Linked DNA regions of Schizosaccharomyces pombe. The gene in region 4 interacts genetically with the main gene of each other region. Each region holds a gene or a part of one and is shown on either strand. Other genes may lie near its edges.

What was found.
Region 1: mutations in rrp1 (region 4) and SPOM_SPBP4H10.16C together harm fitness less than expected from each alone (positive genetic interaction), as found in Schizosaccharomyces pombe (one large-scale study listed by BioGRID).
Region 2: mutations in rrp1 (region 4) and dcr2 together harm fitness more than expected from each alone (negative genetic interaction), as found in Schizosaccharomyces pombe (one large-scale study listed by BioGRID).
Region 3: mutations in rrp1 (region 4) and atf21 together harm fitness more than expected from each alone (negative genetic interaction), as found in Schizosaccharomyces pombe (one large-scale study listed by BioGRID).

What each region holds. Positions count from the first base shown.
Region 1 is NC_003423.3:2,905,429-2,909,200, forward strand, and holds SPOM_SPBP4H10.16C (phosphatase activator), read right to left. Parts: upstream 1,812-3,772; 5' UTR 1,697-1,811; coding exon 809-1,696; 3' UTR 534-808; downstream 1-533. Other genes in the region: aco2 (aconitase/ribosomal domain-containing protein), read left to right, coding at 1-388, 429-453; SPOM_SPBP4H10.17C (carboxyl methyl esterase), read right to left, coding at 1,945-2,970; SPOM_SPBP4H10.18C (uncharacterized protein), read right to left, coding at 3,459-3,772.
Region 2 is NC_003421.2:774,237-778,656, reverse strand, and holds dcr2 (phosphoprotein phosphatase), read left to right. Parts: upstream 1-1,885; 5' UTR 1,886-2,086; coding exon 2,087-3,616; 3' UTR 3,617-3,867; downstream 3,868-4,420. Other genes in the region: Tf2-12 (retrotransposable element/transposon Tf2-type), read left to right, coding at 1-524; tal1 (transaldolase), read right to left, coding at 4,191-4,420.
Region 3 is NC_003423.3:1,720,968-1,724,956, reverse strand, and holds atf21 (Atf-CREB family transcription factor Atf21), read right to left. Parts: upstream 1,945-3,989; coding exon 877-1,944; 3' UTR 507-876; downstream 1-506. Other genes in the region: mRNA guanylyltransferase Ceg1, read right to left, coding at 1-110.
Region 4 is NC_003424.3:3,578,199-3,583,544, forward strand, and holds rrp1 (ATP-dependent DNA helicase), read left to right. Parts: upstream 1-2,024; coding exon 2,025-4,718; 3' UTR 4,719-4,807; downstream 4,808-5,346. Other genes in the region: 14-3-3 protein Rad25, read right to left, coding at 5,052-5,346.

The DNA.
Region 1 (3,772 bases), on a different chromosome or scaffold from region 4:
GTTCAGCTCTTAATTTGATTCGCGAAAAGGCCCATTCTGGCGTGGTAAATCAAAAGGTTATAGATTCAATAAAACAACAACCTGACCACTATGCTGATGCGTATATATTTAATCGTCATTTTGTTATAGCCAAAGGAGATCAACTAGGATTGCCTTTTCACTTGAAAGGTGTCCAGGTTGGTGATACGATACGACTTGATAAAATCGCTTCCTTCGGCTCAAGAGATTTTACTCTCTTTGGTAACCCGTATGTAGACCCTTCATTGTTTACGATTGAAGCGGTTGTATTATCATTCCCTAAAAGCGCATTAAGTGTTCGAGTAAAACACAAGCGTCGTCATCGTCATGATCGTGTAATGAAACATAAACAAACGTATACTATTTTAAGGTAAGTGTGCAGCAATTCTATCATGTTACTAATCATCCAGGGTTACGGAACTCAAACTGAACTAATTCCCTTTCTTCTTTTTATCTAGTCTTCTACTTCACCCATGTATGCTGCTGACAACTAAAACATTTTGTAAATTAATATAATAATTTTGTGTATTAAGGGAAATAGTGACAAGTAATACTGAACGTTGTTCAATAAAATAATAAAAAAAATTTCAGAGAGGATCAAGAAATAATAAAACTCGTAGGAGGAGTACAAATCTAATTTAAGCAATTACAAATCAAGGATTAAGTAGGTAATTGCTGCGCAAAAATAATTCTTGCTCATTTAAAAATAAAGAGGAATAACAAAAACAACAAAAACAACAAAAACACAAAAGAGAAAAAATGCTTTTAAACTTTGAAACATACCCTGTACTTAAACCGCTGCAGTCTCGTACGTATTAGCGCCTAATACAGCAAGTTCCAACGTCCAAACTCTTCTTACCCAAGTTGCAAACTCGATCCCATTGTAGGTGATACTGGTAGAAGAATCCCACCAACACTTCCGAGCTGGTTTCTGCCAAAAGAGGAGCAACTTGTGATAAACAGGAAAATATTCAGGATCAGAGACAGGGCCCTGATCTGCACTAAAATCTAGGTTGGTCAAAGTGACTGAAGTAATACAAGCGCGATGTGGTTCTTGTATTCGCCGTTTCCATTCGTCATCTTCGTGAAATCCGCTGTAGCAAAGCATGCGTACAAGGTTCTTTTCAGCGGAACCTTCTGAGGTGGAGTTTTCGAGATGTAAACAATCAAAGATCTTCTTTTGTTGCAGCAATCGTTGGGCTACACGTTGTTTTAGTTTAAGCAAATCGTTCGGACTAACTTCAATGGCAATATTGGTGGTTGGTGAAATGGGTGGGAGGATAAAAAACTCAATGTCTTCTTTTAACAGAATTATACCACATTTTCCAGGAAAAGAAGGTGGAGGTGGTGATAATGCAATTTCATCATTAGCGGTACGATTTTCGGCCATTTGAAAATAATTTAATATGTACTGAAGTAATGAAGGATCAAAGTCAGCTGTTTGAAATATTAATGGCCTTTGAGTCAGTTGGCATTCTTGAATCTCATAATCCAACAACAGGCCTCTAGGAAATAAACACATCAAGATGGATTCCGGGAGGCCTAAAAGCTGATCTCTACTCAATTCAAATACTGTGTCACGATCGCATAATTGAATAATAATAGGATCTCCTTCATAATTGAAATCGGGATTGGCTGCTACAGTAGGTATTTCCTGAGCCTGAGTTATCACAGACATGAAGGCACAAAAATTCGAGTGTTTAAAAGAGAAGTTTCAATAAAATAAATTATTTTTTAATCAAGGGTAATGATAAATAAAGATACAATCATATATGCGAATGCAACGTACTTATAGGTACTATGAAAGCGGTGCCTTTGATATCGATGCCTACGCAACCTGCACAGCACAACGTTATATGACCATACATACTCCACTATATAACGCATTTTTCTTAGTGTATAATAAAGTTCGTTAAATCATTAAGATTACTGTAGAACAGGAGTAGCACCAACTTTGGGAGGTAAAACCAAAGGTTGATTGCGATGCCAAAAATTTAAAAGTAGAGAGGAAATCTTAGCGGGAACATCTTCATGAACAAAATGACCAGTTTCAGGAAGAATCTCAAGTTGATATTTTCCTTGCATTTGTCCAATTGTTAACGTTTTATCTAGACGATCGGTACCAGCGACAATAAGCATCCTTCCATATGGTGCTCTTAGGAATTTGTCACTTAAACCCTTAAACCAGTCCATCCAATACGGCGATGTTTTGTAAAGATCGGTTCGCCAAACGAATGTGCCATCTTCCTGCTGAACGAGAAGTGAAGGAACTGTAATACAGGCCGATAATCTGTTTCTAGTAACTAAAGTCTTGATATGCCAAGAAATTGCATCATCAATTGATTTAAAGCTAGTAGGACGATTAGAGAGGTACGTTTTCATAAAACCCAATGCTTCCATCGCAGTCCCTTCAACCACATCAATGACAACAAGTCCAGAAGTATTGGGAATAGTTTTTTGAAAAGCACAGTAAGCACAAATGGCACCTCCTAAGCTATGTCCGACCAAAATGATTTTTTCATCAAGCTCAAACATACGTTGAACATAGGAGACTGCGTGAGTAAAGTCCTTAGATAATGTTTCCAAGCTCATATCTGATTCGGGTTCTAACGTTGTTTCTCCATGAGCTCGAAGGTCCAACGCTAAAAAACCAACCTTATTATCTGAATTACTCAAGAGCTCTTGTGTAACCGGTGCAAATGACATGGCACTTGAGCCAGCACCGTGTTGCAAAACAAGTAAGCAACCATCTGGTTGTGGAAGTGTTAAGTACCCATTGATAGTCCCATTCAAAGCCCCACTTTCACCAGGAATTGTTAACTTTTCATCAAAGTAATTTCGCCAATCGCTTAAACTCTCTTCATTATTTAACATTAGTTCCTTGGTTTCGGATGATTGCTCAGATTCATTCTCATAGAGTGTTTGACTGAGTTCTTCTTTACGAAATGCCATTATAAAGTATTATAATATCTTTTTTAGCTTACACGCAGCACTATAAATAGTTCACACGAATTCCTCGTTGGTTTTATGAAGATAGAATATACAATCCCAGAAGCAGAAACGGACCTGATTGAAAAAAAAAAAAATTAATTCAATGTAATTCTGAAATCGATAAATTTTAAAACAAACAATGTGTATTCCCCAGGTAGCTAAGTTGAGTAAATAATATGCAGTGGAAGTTTCCTGTACTTACTGCGGATTCCTCAATGCTCAAATGATTTACACGCCTTCCATCGCCTACGTAAAAAAATTAACGACGTAACATTTAAATATGTTACCTCGCTTTACACCAACGCTATTTTTCCTTACAGACAAATGTGACTAAAATACAATGGTAAAAGTAAGATTGAAAATCATAATTAATTTATACTTTTTATGCTAGTATGAGACAAAAATATGAGTAGATGAATGTATTATCTACTTTTGGCAATAAGCTGGTTTTATTTGAGACCTGTCATAGAAGATGATTGGGTAGATTTCTCTTGCAACTGTTTAATTAGTAGTAATCGTCCAGCTGGTAGAGCTACCGACATTGGAGTAAAGCTAGCAAACAGCTTTGGATTAACAAAAGGAAGTTCAAAAGGTGTTATTCTAGAAATATCTCTGTGGTCGTGGATACTGGTCTCTATTTTTGCGGTAGAATCATTATTGGCAGAAAAATCCTCCTCAGTAGTCAGTTGAGTTTCATCTTGATTTCTTTTCTTTAACAAGATTGACTTTTTGTTTCTTAAAACTGACGCTTTACTTGAAAGAT
Region 2 (4,420 bases), on a different chromosome or scaffold from region 4:
CGATCCAAGTATTTCAAACAGTTAAAGAACACTTGAATACAAACAACATAAAGATGAAAAAGTATTTCGATATGAAAATACAAGAAATTGAAGAATTTCAACCTGGAGACCTAGTTATGGTCAAAAGAACGAAAACAGGTTTTCTTCATAAATCCAATAAATTAGCACCTAGTTTTGCAGGACCGTTCTATGTGTTACAGAAGTCGGGTCCAAACAACTATGAATTGGATCTTCCAGATTCAATCAAGCACATGTTTTCATCTACTTTTCATGTTTCTCACCTAGAAAAGTATCGACATAATTCAGAACTCAATTACGCTACCATTGATGAGTCTGATATTGGAACAATTCTTCATATCCTAGAACATAAAAACAGAGAACAAGTACTCTACTTAAATGTCAAGTACATTTCGAATCTAAATCCGAGTACTATTATGTCAGGATGGACTACATTAGCTACAGCGCTACAAGCGGACAAAGCAATTGTCAATGATTATATTAAAAACAATAATCTAAATATCTGAGAACATATGACTTATCCTCAGATTTACATAGAAAATCTTGGGGAGGGCAATGTCAGCAATACTACACTACGCTATAATACACTACGTTGAGTATCACTATATGTCACATGTTCTAATTATATATCGTACCATGTATGATACGATATGGAGATTGATCTTAATGATAATCTATTAAGATCAATATTATCTGAATACTATAAATAGAGCTACTGCTGAACCTCGTTCCTCAGTTCAGTTATGAGCTATATTAGTGATAGGTAACATTATAACCCAGTTAATACAATACCTATACTCAGTTGCTACTTATACAACCTGTGTATCGTAATATAATAGATCACAAGGAAAACTCACCGCAGTTCTACGTATCCTTAAATCAGATACCAAACTGCGTAGCTTACACTTAATGAGTTTTCAAAAAAATATGCAAAACCAAAATAATGAGGAAAACATCATGTGAGATTAGTTAAACGAAGAATGAGTCTCAGCTTGGAAATTTGTTAATTATCAAGCTTCAAGGTATTCTGCTTGAACTTTGAGTTGAAGAATAAATGGGTTCTTTATTTTGAAAGAGTTTGCGTTATGATAATTACTCTTTGGTTCGGCTTAGTGGTTCGGCACAATAATTATGCCGGAAAAAAACAAGATCCGCAAAACCCTCTATATATATCGACTTGCTGGCAGCTTAAAACTTTTCAGATCAGGTAAGAAACTAACGCAATAGTACCCTTACACAGTTATACAACTATTGACACATGTTTCATGGGCCACAACATGTGAAATGTCGGCCAAATTAAGCTTGAATTAAGCGAGATTTATAGTACCTTGAAATATTCGTTTTCATTTGCGAGTTTTCTCGTACCACTACAGTATGAAGCAGAATTTCTCAGAAAATAATACTTAACAAAAAGTTAGAGCTTAAAATATAATCCAAAATGGTTGTTAAGATTTTGAGAGCTGCCGTACCTCTCATATAAACACTCACCGCTAGAAATTAAAAAATAAGTGAGATGAAAATATTAATGTCAATGAGTATCTGAGAGCTTATCCATGCAATTTTCTTCTTCCGAAATGCCATCTAGCTTTAACGTTTGTTTTCACTCACAAGAAAAGTCGCTATAATGCTGAATTTTAATAGACATTCAGAATAACTGAGAACCTGCTAAACTACGTTAAGCTCATCTCTTCACATACCGAGCTCTTTCCAACTTCAAGTATTATGATAAGCAAGTTTCTTGAAAGCGATTCTTAAGTGAGTATTCTGCACTACGCTAGGCATAGATAACGGATTCGTTCTTGTGCTCCGCATTCGAATCTTAATTTGAAAAGCCTTCTTCTACCATGTAAACATTACCGTAATATCCACATAATCCTTTTGCTTTCATGAATTCAGTCAATTCTACAGGTTTTTCATAAAAACTTTTAATTTGAAGCACATTTGTTATATAAATATTGCTTTTCTTTGTCAAATATTTGATCCGTAAAAGAAAAAGTTCTCGCGGGACGTTTTTCGGTTAAAAATACATTCCTACAATTACTAATCTCGTGTTCAAAGACTAAGCAAAATGATGCTACCAAAGAGAAACATTATTCATTTCCTTCGTAAAAGGGCAATCTTCATAGTTGCGGCTTTCATAGCATTATTGACTGTTGATTATTCGCTCAACACCATTGAAATCACTGACTCAAAGTCGGGACCCTTCTCACTGAACACTCCAATCGAAGATATAAGGCTGGTCGAGTGCTTTTCCTTTTCTCCCTTTTGTCGTCCCGTTTTGGAATTTTGGAAATGGGCCCGTACTAGTCGGAATCTGTACCGTTCCCGAATTCCTTGGAAGCGTGCCTACCTTTACGTGAAACGACCAGCACTGTATATTCCTGGGGAGACTGTCTTAGTTGAACAGGTATATGTTGATCGACAGCTGGAAAAGCGTAACAAGCACGGTATTCAAATTCGTTATGGAACGGATGGTGATATTTGCGAATTTAATACATTGTTGGGTGAGGATGTTGTTGAATTACGAGAGGGTTGGTCTGCTGTTCTAAATGACTTTATTTATTTAGGACAGCCGGTCCTATTGACGCAAAGACCTTGTGAAACTCCTCCGACGCCATCTATTGAAGCGCTTAAGAGAAAGGAGCTTTCATCCGTAACCCTTACTTATGATGACGAAGAAAAAAAGACAATTAAGATTCTTCAGCTTTCTGATTTGCACTATTCAAATTCTGACAGACCGTGTCGCGATCCTTATCCGTATGAGACTGCAGAGGATTGTATGGCCGATGCAAAAACTACTGCTTTCGTGAATGAATTATTACAGTTAGAGGAACCGGACTTTGTCCTTTTGACTGGGGACTTAATTAACGGCGACACGTCACGCGACGCTAGAAGCTCTTTGATGAAAGCGGTGTCCCCTTTTGTTGATTACAACGTCCCATTTGCTGTAAATTTCGGAAATCACGATGATTTGGGAGATTTATCGAGGGAAGAGCTTGCCAAAATTTTGAGTCAGATTCCTGGTAGTATGGGTTTGATTGGAAATGTCTCTGGTGTTGGTAACTTTGTTTTACATAGTCCCCGAAAGTTTGCCATTTACGTTTTAGATACAAAGGGAGATACTTCAAATCGAAGATTATGCCCTGGATACGATGCTATTACCGAGGATCAACTGGAGTGGCTTTCTAGTAAAGTTGCGGATTTCAAGTACGAGCCCATTCAAATGGCTGTATTGCATATCCCTCTGAAGGAGTTTTGCGAGACTGAAGACCTTGTTGGTGCATTTCGAGAGCCCTGTTCTTATTCCATTTGTGATCCAAATACTGCGAAAGCTTTGAAAAGTTTACGTATTCCTCTTGCTATTGCAGGACATGACCATGTAAATGATTTCTGTGGAATCCATCCAGATTATAACACATACTTTTGCTTTGCTGGAGGTGCTGGGTTTGGCGGATATGGAGGACATGGTGGCTACGTTCGTCGTGCAAGGGTTTTTGAGTTGGACCCGGTTGAGCGCGCAGTTCGTACTTGGAAACGCTTGGAATGGCCTCCTGAAGACCGTAAGTTGATGCTGGACGTACAAACTATTTTAGTTTAAACAATCACTCCTCTCATTATATAACTTATTTCACAGCAGGATATAATTTTCTTTTTCTTCTATCTTTACGATATTTTTATTTTCTATTCAATCTTCATCCCAATTTTATGGGATCCTTCTTTTCAAAGTGAATTTCTTATGTTACGGAAGTAATATACTAATTAATATTAACGAAATTTTTACGCTCTTCCAATTACATACTTAAATAGTTTTGAAATGTGTTTGCTAATAATTAATTCCACATTCTACCATTTGCAGTTGAGATCCATCATATATTTTATTCCAAAATACAAGTAAATATGTCCATCCACATACGCAATACATATATACAAAATATATATATTCATTTATATAACAATCGTCAAACCTAAAGGCTTAGTCACACTTATAGCTCGCAAGTACGATTTATTTTTTGTGTTTTGTTAAAAAAGACTGCCATAACATCCTTAAAATCATAATCTGGAAACCTCAACATACGGAATGCTAGCAGTAAAAAGGGTAAAAAAAAGTAAGCTAAAAAACTCCTAACAAAATGAAAGAAATCGGTATACCTAACTGGTTGCAGCTAAAATATTTAGGCCTCAAGCTTAGCCTTCAAGATGGTACGAAGAGTATCAGCATCCTTGGCAAAGGCAGCGATACCAGTGGACAACTTGACTACAGCCATTTCGTCGTTGTTAAAGTCGAAACGGAACTTGGGCTCATCAGTAAGGTAGGAAACCTTCTCCAAATTGAGGCTGGAAGCCTTGGAGGCATCAAGCTTCTTGGGGACAGCGTCGGTGCTGTTGTTGAGCTGCTCAAGAA
Region 3 (3,989 bases), on a different chromosome or scaffold from region 4:
CTTGTTCCTAATAATTTGGCAATTCGTGTCTTTAAAACCCTCACATCGTCGCGCGGTGCTAAAACTCCAGGGACTGATACCTCTTCAATGTCTTTCTCTGAGGGTGCCATTCCTTTTAATAATACACTCGTTTCTTTGCTAAGAGAGGGCTTAAGCACTTTCTGAAGGAGTAGAAACGGGATATAGTCTTAATGTACTAAATAAAGACACATGGTTTGTATAAAAATTCCTTATGCAGTATAGTGATCTTTTGCTGCAAAACGCAAAAATGCATATAATTATAGCTGCTCTACGAATACTGTTATCTTTTCTACCATTTACTTCAGAAAGTGTTATTCTATTACTTAATTTTTTTTTTATTCCAAAGCAAACAATATATGTAACTGTGGTGTCGTACTGAAGATAAAATGACATGTCTGTGAACGAGGTACAGATTATATGGCAGTGATTACAGATTTGGCTCATCTAGGTCAAGTTCGTAAAGCAATCGTAACCTATTAAAAAAATACATATAGGGAAGATATATCATTACAGTAATTATTAATCTGGAAATGAAACGTGCGTAAAGGATCTTCGAAACATAAACACTTTTAATGAAGAAACATGAATGAAAAACCCAAGCAATTGAATGAAACGAGTTTGGAGTGAGATTGCAAATCCCATGAACACAGTGACGCGAAGAAAATAATAGTATTGTGAAAAAAGAAAAATAAAATATGCCAGAGTTAAAGTACAATTACTATAGACAAGCAGTAGAGCAGCACTGGCCGTCTTTTAAGCATCTCCTATTGCAAGATTCTATCCAGGCTCTCAGAAATGCATATACAGTATAATAAAAAAATGTTACGAAACTTGATTCAATGGGGTGTCATTTGCTCAATGTTTCTGAAAGGACATAATTCCTTGAGCCTCTGAAGAAAGATATTGTCGAATTCCTTCGCAATTGCAATCTTGATGAGCTAATAGTTGATTCTTCAAACAAATTACTTCTTCACGTAGTTGGCTGACTAAAATCCTTAGAGCTTTCGACTGCTCACATGCGATATGTGCTGTTTTTTCGAGATTCTGTGTCCAAAGCTTTTTCTTTTGGCGGCATTTCGATGCGGCTATTCGATTTCTCTCTAAAAACCGCCTCCTCTTCATATCAGGAGTTTCATTGTTACTAGCGGTATGAACATTGTTACTGCCAGGTGTACCCCGTCGTTGACTGGAGGCGACGGTTTTATTGGAACAGGACTCATCGCTGCTGTTGTAGTCTCCATTTGGAGATTGAGACTGCTTCTTGTTGGAGTTTAAGTATCCTTCTCTACGTAAGGATTCAAGATTATAGAAAATCTCATCGTTATTCGCAGTAGCGGAATTCTTATATAGGTCCAAACCTTTTTCTTGTTCCGCTCCTGTTAGATTAACATTGTTTTGCATAAGATTTGACTGCACTACGTATGGGGCGTTGGTTCCATTTTGGAATTGTGGATGAAGCACTTGATGAGATCCATTATTATAATGATTCAAAGTACTACCTTCAGAGTATAATGAAGGTGCAACAATTGTTGAGCGTACAGGAGGAGTATTTGTAGGCTGGCCTTTGTCATTATTGTTAGAAATCTCCGAAAGGTTTACCGTTTGAGGTAATGATACCTCTGAAGTACGCTCGGGTCCTTTGAGGTAATGTCCAATGCTAGCATCACCTACTATTGAAGCGTAGTTATTATGTGAATTCGAGGGAAAGGATGTTTGATCTTTAGGTCCCTGGACTGGACCTCTACATTCATATACTCCGATATCGCTAGATTCAGCGCGTTTTTCTCCAACTTCATGGTTACCACCATCGCGGAATGTATTGAAGTTAAAATGAAAATCATGGTGAGTGCCATTACTGACGCTAGCACCATATCCTTCATTACCTAGTGTATCTAACCCGAGATACACATTTGCGAAATCCATGATGGAAGATTGATGATGAGCAAGTTAATTTTCTATTGAGTGCGGTTGAAATGGTTTCGACGGTAAAGCCGATGAAGATAGTTGATACAAGAACGGACTAAATAAAAAGCGAAAGTTTCTTTTTTGTTAGTAGTGCGAATATGTAGTGATTTCTTGAAGAAGGTTAAATCTTAAAAAGAGGCTATGTTATTCAGGTGCTGGCGAAACAAATTGGGAAGGGAAGATGAAGCAAATTGTGGTCGATCAAGTGACGCAAATTTGGATTGATGAATAAGGATGCAATATCTTTGTATAAAATTTCTGAATAGTGATCCCTGTGAACTTCTTCAAAAAAGTAAATAAAAGAAAATGAAGAATGTATAAACCGACAAGTTGGTGATTTGAAACTTAGGAGCTATCAATGGAAAAGTTTCTTTCAATTATATAAATGTGTTCTCTCTTTATTTTTCCTCTGTTTTAAGCATGCAGTAGTGTCCCGGTTTTAGGAAATGAACGAACGATAAAGGAAGGGATGACAATTCGTCGTTCTACAGAAGGATGGAATGGATTAATGGCAAAAGTGAGGATTCCTGGGAAAATAAGTATATATATATAAGGTGGACAGAGAAAGAAGGTAAAGGATAATGAAGGTGGTGAAGGAAGCAATGTCTTACTGCGTCCCTGGCAAGTAAAGAGGCTTATAAACAATAGAGAACTATGTACTAAGGTGGTTTAAGATACCAATTCCTTAATTTTGGACTTGGATTACTATAAGAATACGTTTCTGCTGAGAAATATGATGCTGCAGTCGGTAACTTTTTGGTTTGTGTCGCAATGTTTATATATGTTGATCGGGTGAGATGAATTTTGACGTCACTGCAAAACAAACAAACGAAGGGCTAGGGTAGCCAATCGGGAAATGATTTGTTTACTTTATGAGATGAACTTGCCGTATAGAAATAAAAAGTTTTTCTTTATAAAAATTTATTTTTTTTTTGTTTGAAGGGATTTGTTGCAATTAACAAAGGCACTATGCTAAAAAAGTCAAGCAGTATTATCCTTTAAGGCCTCCATTTTAAGGAGCTAACCGAAGGGGACTACATTCACGTGTCGCTCCACTGTGTAATATTTACATCACAGTCGTACCGTTAATTGGCCACCATATTCGGAAAGGAAAATCTAGAGTTCTATTTGATGCAGATTATGTCAAATATAATCAGGATTTACTTTTATTTAAACCAATCAAAAAATAGCCGATTACTTGTGGAGAGATAATAACGCTATCCCTCGGTATTCGTAGTCGTCAATAGTAAAGTTGTGAATGCGAAAATATAATATCGCCTCTCTTGCTAGCTTTTTTCATATTTATTTCCTTTAATGGTTTTGATGAAACTACCTAGGCTTCAAATTTTGTCGTTCTCTTACGCGCGCCACCATAAACGGCTTTATCGTTACTGATAATAATAGCTCATATCATTACTATTAGTAGCCTTTCCGCTATCAATCCTTTCTCAAAATTTAGCCGCAACTTGTTTCTAATACTTCTTCATCTTTCTTGCCCACATTTACTTATATTGTCGCAAGCAAGAGTAACATGTTATTGATTTAAATCTGGTTTGCCAGAATTCTCATTTTTAGTATGTATACTATCATATCTTTTAACTATACACGAGATGAAGTTTAACTTTTGGTCACATTAAATCAAAATAGACAGAACGGATCGTACATACGACCATGAGTTAGCCACTGGATTGAATCAGTTCTGCAAATCGAAAGATGTTGAACTTCGCAGTTGACAATATGAGAATACTTTAGCAACATCTGGAATATTTAATTAAGCTCTACGTCAATTTGGTAGAAATGTGACTATCTAAGATATAGTTGGCAATTTCCCGAATTCATAGGATATCACCTTTAAACCTTTTGACTTAATTTAATGATATTATTTTTCTTTATTTTAATTTACTGAGATGTAAATGCCGTGATTGTTGCATGTGTATACCTCAGATAATAATTGGACGTAGACACTATTGATTAACCCACGTAGCTATTTCACTTCTTTTGAA
Region 4 (5,346 bases):
AGTTTGTCTATGTTCTGGATGCCACTCGCCAGTCACTCGATAAAATTATATTACATTGCTACTCTACCCAAATTCCTCCCGACCTATCGGTTCATCAACTCTATAATATTATATTCCACACAACACGATACCTTTGCCCTTTTCTTCCATACCTCGGCAGCGCTTGCCATGTTCTTCTTTTCAAAACGACTCGAATCCTTCTTTCCTTTGATCGATCATTGACTTGAACAATTCTTTTTTACTTTTAATGTTTTTGATCGGTAATTGAGTTACTAATTTCTAATTTATTTTTTATTTAATTTTTTATTTTTTTTTTATCAATTCTCTCTTTCTTTCCTTTTTTTTTTAACTCGTGATGTTTTTGCAATTCATAAAAAAATTTCCTAATAATTTAATTTAATTCTTTATTTATTTTGTGTTTTTCCTATTCGCAACTGAAATTTTTTTTTTTTTTTGTTTTGTTCCTCGTGTTCCTCTCGGCTCCTATTTTGCCTCCCCTGTGCTCGGTCGGATTAAGTTTACTCCGTACCGACTAGTCCTCGTCTTTCACCTTTTTTGCCTTGTGATTTTCAGCTCGCTATGCTACGCTAATCCTGCCATTGTCAATCTTCGGCGATAGTGAGAAGAGTGGTGCGAGTTGGAATTTTTTGAAAAGCAAGATCTTCAACACATCTCCAGAGCTTACAGTTCTAGTCGCATCACACAATCAAACACATGTGTTGCGCAAAACAAACACATGCAAGCACACTGGAAGCAAATTCGAAAAAGTGCATGCAAGAAAACTCTCGTTTCAAAATCATAAACCCGCCTCATTCCTTAAATTTTATTCATCAAAATATTCGTTAGCAGAATCATTCATTCAAATCTCTCTTTCACTAAATTTTTTTATTTTTTTTATTTATTTTTTTTCGGGAGGCGCGCCACCGCTCCTTCTTGTCCTTTCTTCTTTTTCTCTGTTTTACTTTCACGTGTCTCTTTTGGCCCTACTTTTCCAACTTTTGCAGCTGTAATCGCTCTTTCGCAATTAAAGATCGGCTACTCAATTCCTTTGTCTAAATTTGCTTTTCTTTTCATCTCTTCTATCTAATTTTTGCCTTGTTTCAAATTCTTCACACTTTTCGTTCTTTTCCTTCTCGTCGACGACCACGTATGCTTCTCGAAGGTGCATCCCATCCTTTTTACTGGAAACCCGTTTCAGCATCCATTCCATCTTATCAAATGTGTCTCTTAATTCATATCATCGGTTGACCAGAACAAAACAAAAATTTTTTTCTATTTATTTTTTTTGCTTTTTATTTTATTTTATTTTATTTTAATTTTTGGTTAGATATTCTTTTCAATAGTTTTGCGATTCGTTTTTTGAAACGGTTTTCTTCTTTACATCCTACCATCATTTTCCTTTTTGATTTACCTAGTTCCTCCTACTCCTCCATTCATTTTTGTTTTATCGCACATTCCAATACTCTCGTTATCCTTCTTTAATTCATCTCTAGCATACTCAGTTCCTATTATCTTTATCATTCTCGAGATTTTGAATCGTTAAACTTTTACTACATATCAACTTGTTTGATTCCGCCATATTGCATCTCACCGCTCATCTGCGCATTTCATCAATTGCCTCGTTCTAATTCGTTCATTTTCCTTATCTTTTTTCAACAAACGTTAACGAGGTCATACTTAAAGAGCAAGTGTTTTCCCATTTCATCCACTTCTCACTAGTGTTTTTTTTTTATTTGTACATAGTGCTTTCCATAAATGCTTGTTTTACATTTATCCATCACACTTTCTTAAACCAAATAGGTCTCCATTATTATTTCAGTGTTTCATTTTGTTTCCTTTTTTTTTTTTTTTTTTTTTTTTTAATTTACAATTAATTTTTCTACCACTTTTTTTTCGAGTGGCATTGCATACTTTTCATACACTTTCTATATATTCCATTTTCCCCCTCAATTCGATTTTAAAATAATTCTTCCTGGTCTCTTCCTTCTAATCATGTCTCTTTTATAGCCTAGCTCTTAATCATCATGGATTCATTGTCTGCATATCCTCCTCAATCCACCTTTCAGCAACTTCAAAATGACGAGGAATTGGCCCGTCGTCTTCAAGATGAATGGAATTCTTCTTCCCCCTCTTCTGCCCCCTCCTCATCTTCTTCCCAAAACCAAGTTGAACTAGACGAACAATTTGCTAGGTCCCTTCAAAATTCACAATCCTCTTCCTATTCTCTTCCTCCCTTTGATCATCCTCCTTCCAAAAATCCTACTTCTTCTTCCCTTTCCACTCGCAAGCGATGGCGGCAAAAACGTCTTTGGTCTTTTAAAAACTTTCCCTTTCGTCCCCCTACGCGCTTAACTTCTACTCCCTCAAACTCATCATCTCTTCCTTCTATTCCATCTTCTTCGTCTACTCCATCAATTTCTTCTATTCCACATACCACTTCTTCCGTCTCTAACGACATCCCTTCCGTATTAGGCTCGAGTGACCACCCTATTGATCTTGATAATCCCGAACATTTGACTCCTCCTTCCTCCTTCATTACCGCTAAACAATTGAGTCGTCTTCCTACTCCTCTTCCACCTCCATCATCTTCATCCCTACCTACCGGGACTATTAGTACCAACTCTTTTTGCCCTTATGAGCGTAAGGTGCAACCAGAACATGTCACAAAAGAATTGCATCAATTACTTCAGCATAATACTCCCAGTCCGTTCGACACGATCGACCTGCAGTTGAAAAATGAGCAAGTACAATCCGCCGGTTTATTGGTTTCTCTTTTACCACATCAAGTCGAGGGCCATGCTTGGATGGAATCCATGGAGCAAAGCTCCAAGTGTGGTGGGGTTATGGCCGACGACATGGGCCTTGGAAAAACCATTCAAACAATTGCTTTACTTCTTACTCAAAAATCCCAAGACCCTCTTCGTAAGACAAACCTGATTGTGGTTTCTGTCGCCCTCTTACATCAGTGGGCTGAAGAATTGTCTACTAAAGTGCACCCCAGTAAAAAATTATCCGTTTACATCCATCATGGGTCCACTAAGAAAAACTTGGACTCTTACGAACTTTCTCAATATGATGTTGTCTTGACTACGTATTCAATGCTTGCTTATGAAATGAAGCAAAACGATGCGTTTAATAATAACAATCCCGCTACGGCAACTCCGCCGCCAGCCTGTTCATTGCTAGAGACTTCCTGGTATCGCATTGTTCTAGATGAGGCACATACCATTCGTAACCGCGACACTCTTGCCGCTAAATGCTGCGTCAAACTGGATGCCAAATATAGATGGTGCCTAAGCGGAACCCCCATACAAAACCATATTGATGAGTTTTACAGCCTCTTAAAGTTCCTCAGAATAAAACCATATTGCGTGTGGAGCCTTTTTGCTAAGGATATTTCCAGACCGCTAAAAAGTTATCGTGCAGATATCGTTGAAGCTGCTCTTAAACGTCTTCGCATCCTTTTGGCTTCTACGGTTTTTCGTAGAACTAAAGAGACGAGGGTTAATAATTTGCCTATTGTCAACCTTCCTCCAAAAACCATCCGTACCGTCTCCGTGAACCTTCTTCCTGAAGAACGCGCGCTCTACAATGAGCAAATGTCTAGTGCTCAATCGCTCGTTGATAACTATTTTAACAATGATCACGATCTTTCGCGCTACGGGTTCTTATTAGTATCTTTACTCCGTCTTCGCCAATTTTGTTGTCACCCATGGCTTGTTAAGAGTTCTAGCTTGGATAACAGCTTTAGAATTAGAGATTCCGAAAACGTCAGAAATGCTTGCAAGTCTTTGGATCCCTTGACCATAGAAAGAATTGCTACACTACAGGATTTCAACTGTAGTGTTTGTTTGGATCCTTGTTTGGCTCCCGTTTTTATTATCCCTTGCGGGCACTTTACATGTCAAGAGTGTATGAGCATGCTAGTCGGCCAGAAGTATGGATCATCAAGCACTTCTACGATCATAGCAAAGTGCCCAATGTGCAGAGGTAATATAGTTCAAGATTCATTAGTTGATGCAACTATCCTTCAAGCAATCCATGGTCCTTTAAACTCTTTAAAGCAATTAGAGTTAGATATGAATCAATCTTTTTCAGAACAAGAAAGCATTAAATTAAGGTGGGAAAATCGTATTGACCAGATGTTTACCAAAAAATTTGGCAAGCGGGCGAGCGAATGGAAAAGCTCCTCGAAATTGAATCAAGCAAGACAAACAATTTTGGATATAATTGGCTCCAAGAGAAACGAAAAAATTCTGGTCTATTCTCAGTTCTCCCAGTATTTATGCCTCGTATCGCACATGCTAAAATTAGAAAATATACGACATGTTCGTTATGATGGTACTATGTCTGCGAACCAGAGGCAAAAGTCCCTACATTCTTTTAATAACGATAAAGATGTTTTAGTCATGCTGGTTTCATTGAAAGCCGGCAGCGTGGGTTTGAATTTGACGATTGCAAATCACGTTATTCTACAGGAACCATTTTATAATCCGAGCATAGAGGATCAAGCAATAGATCGTGTTCATCGGCTTGGACAGCAGAAGCCTGTCACCGTGTATAGGTTTATTACTAAAGATACGATTGAAGAGCGTATCGTCAGTGTTCAACGTAAGAAGCGTCAATTGGTTAAAGAAGCTTTGGATTCAAACGAAAACAATCCTCTGTCGAGACTTGACAAAGAAGAGTTGCTATATCTATTTGGGCTTAATTCATGATTATTTAATGTTAACGTTACTCAAATGAACTATACTCTACTGCATACTAAACTAAACGTTAAAAAAAGGGGTGGTGTAGTGTAACGCATGTACAATGTATAATAATAGTATGCTTTGATGGTTTTAAGGCCACAAAGCCAAACTAACTACTCATGAAACGTAATCAAAGTTATAAATTTATAAATGATAGAAATAAAGTGCAAGAAGAATATAATGAAGATAACTTTGTTATATGGCTACGAATATTAGATAAATCATAGGTATCAGTTCATATATGCAAAAGTAATCAGACCATTAGGATCCGTTTACTGATAAAATGCTAACGCTTTAGTTTCAAGCTTTAACAGTGTCAGTCGTAGACTCTTTGGGCTCGGGATGTTCGTTTTCAGAAGCAGCAGCGGCAGCAGGAGCCTCCTCCTTAGCAGACTGGTTGTATTCGGCGTCAGAAGTCCATAAAGTCAAGTTATCGCGAAGAAGCTGCATGATTAAAGTAGAGTCTTTGTAAGATTCTTCAGAAAGACTATCGAGCTCTGAAATGGCCTCATCAAATACTTGTTTAGCCAAATGGCATGCACTTTCTGGAGAGTCAAGGATTTCATAATAGAAGACGGAAAAGTTGAGAGCCAAA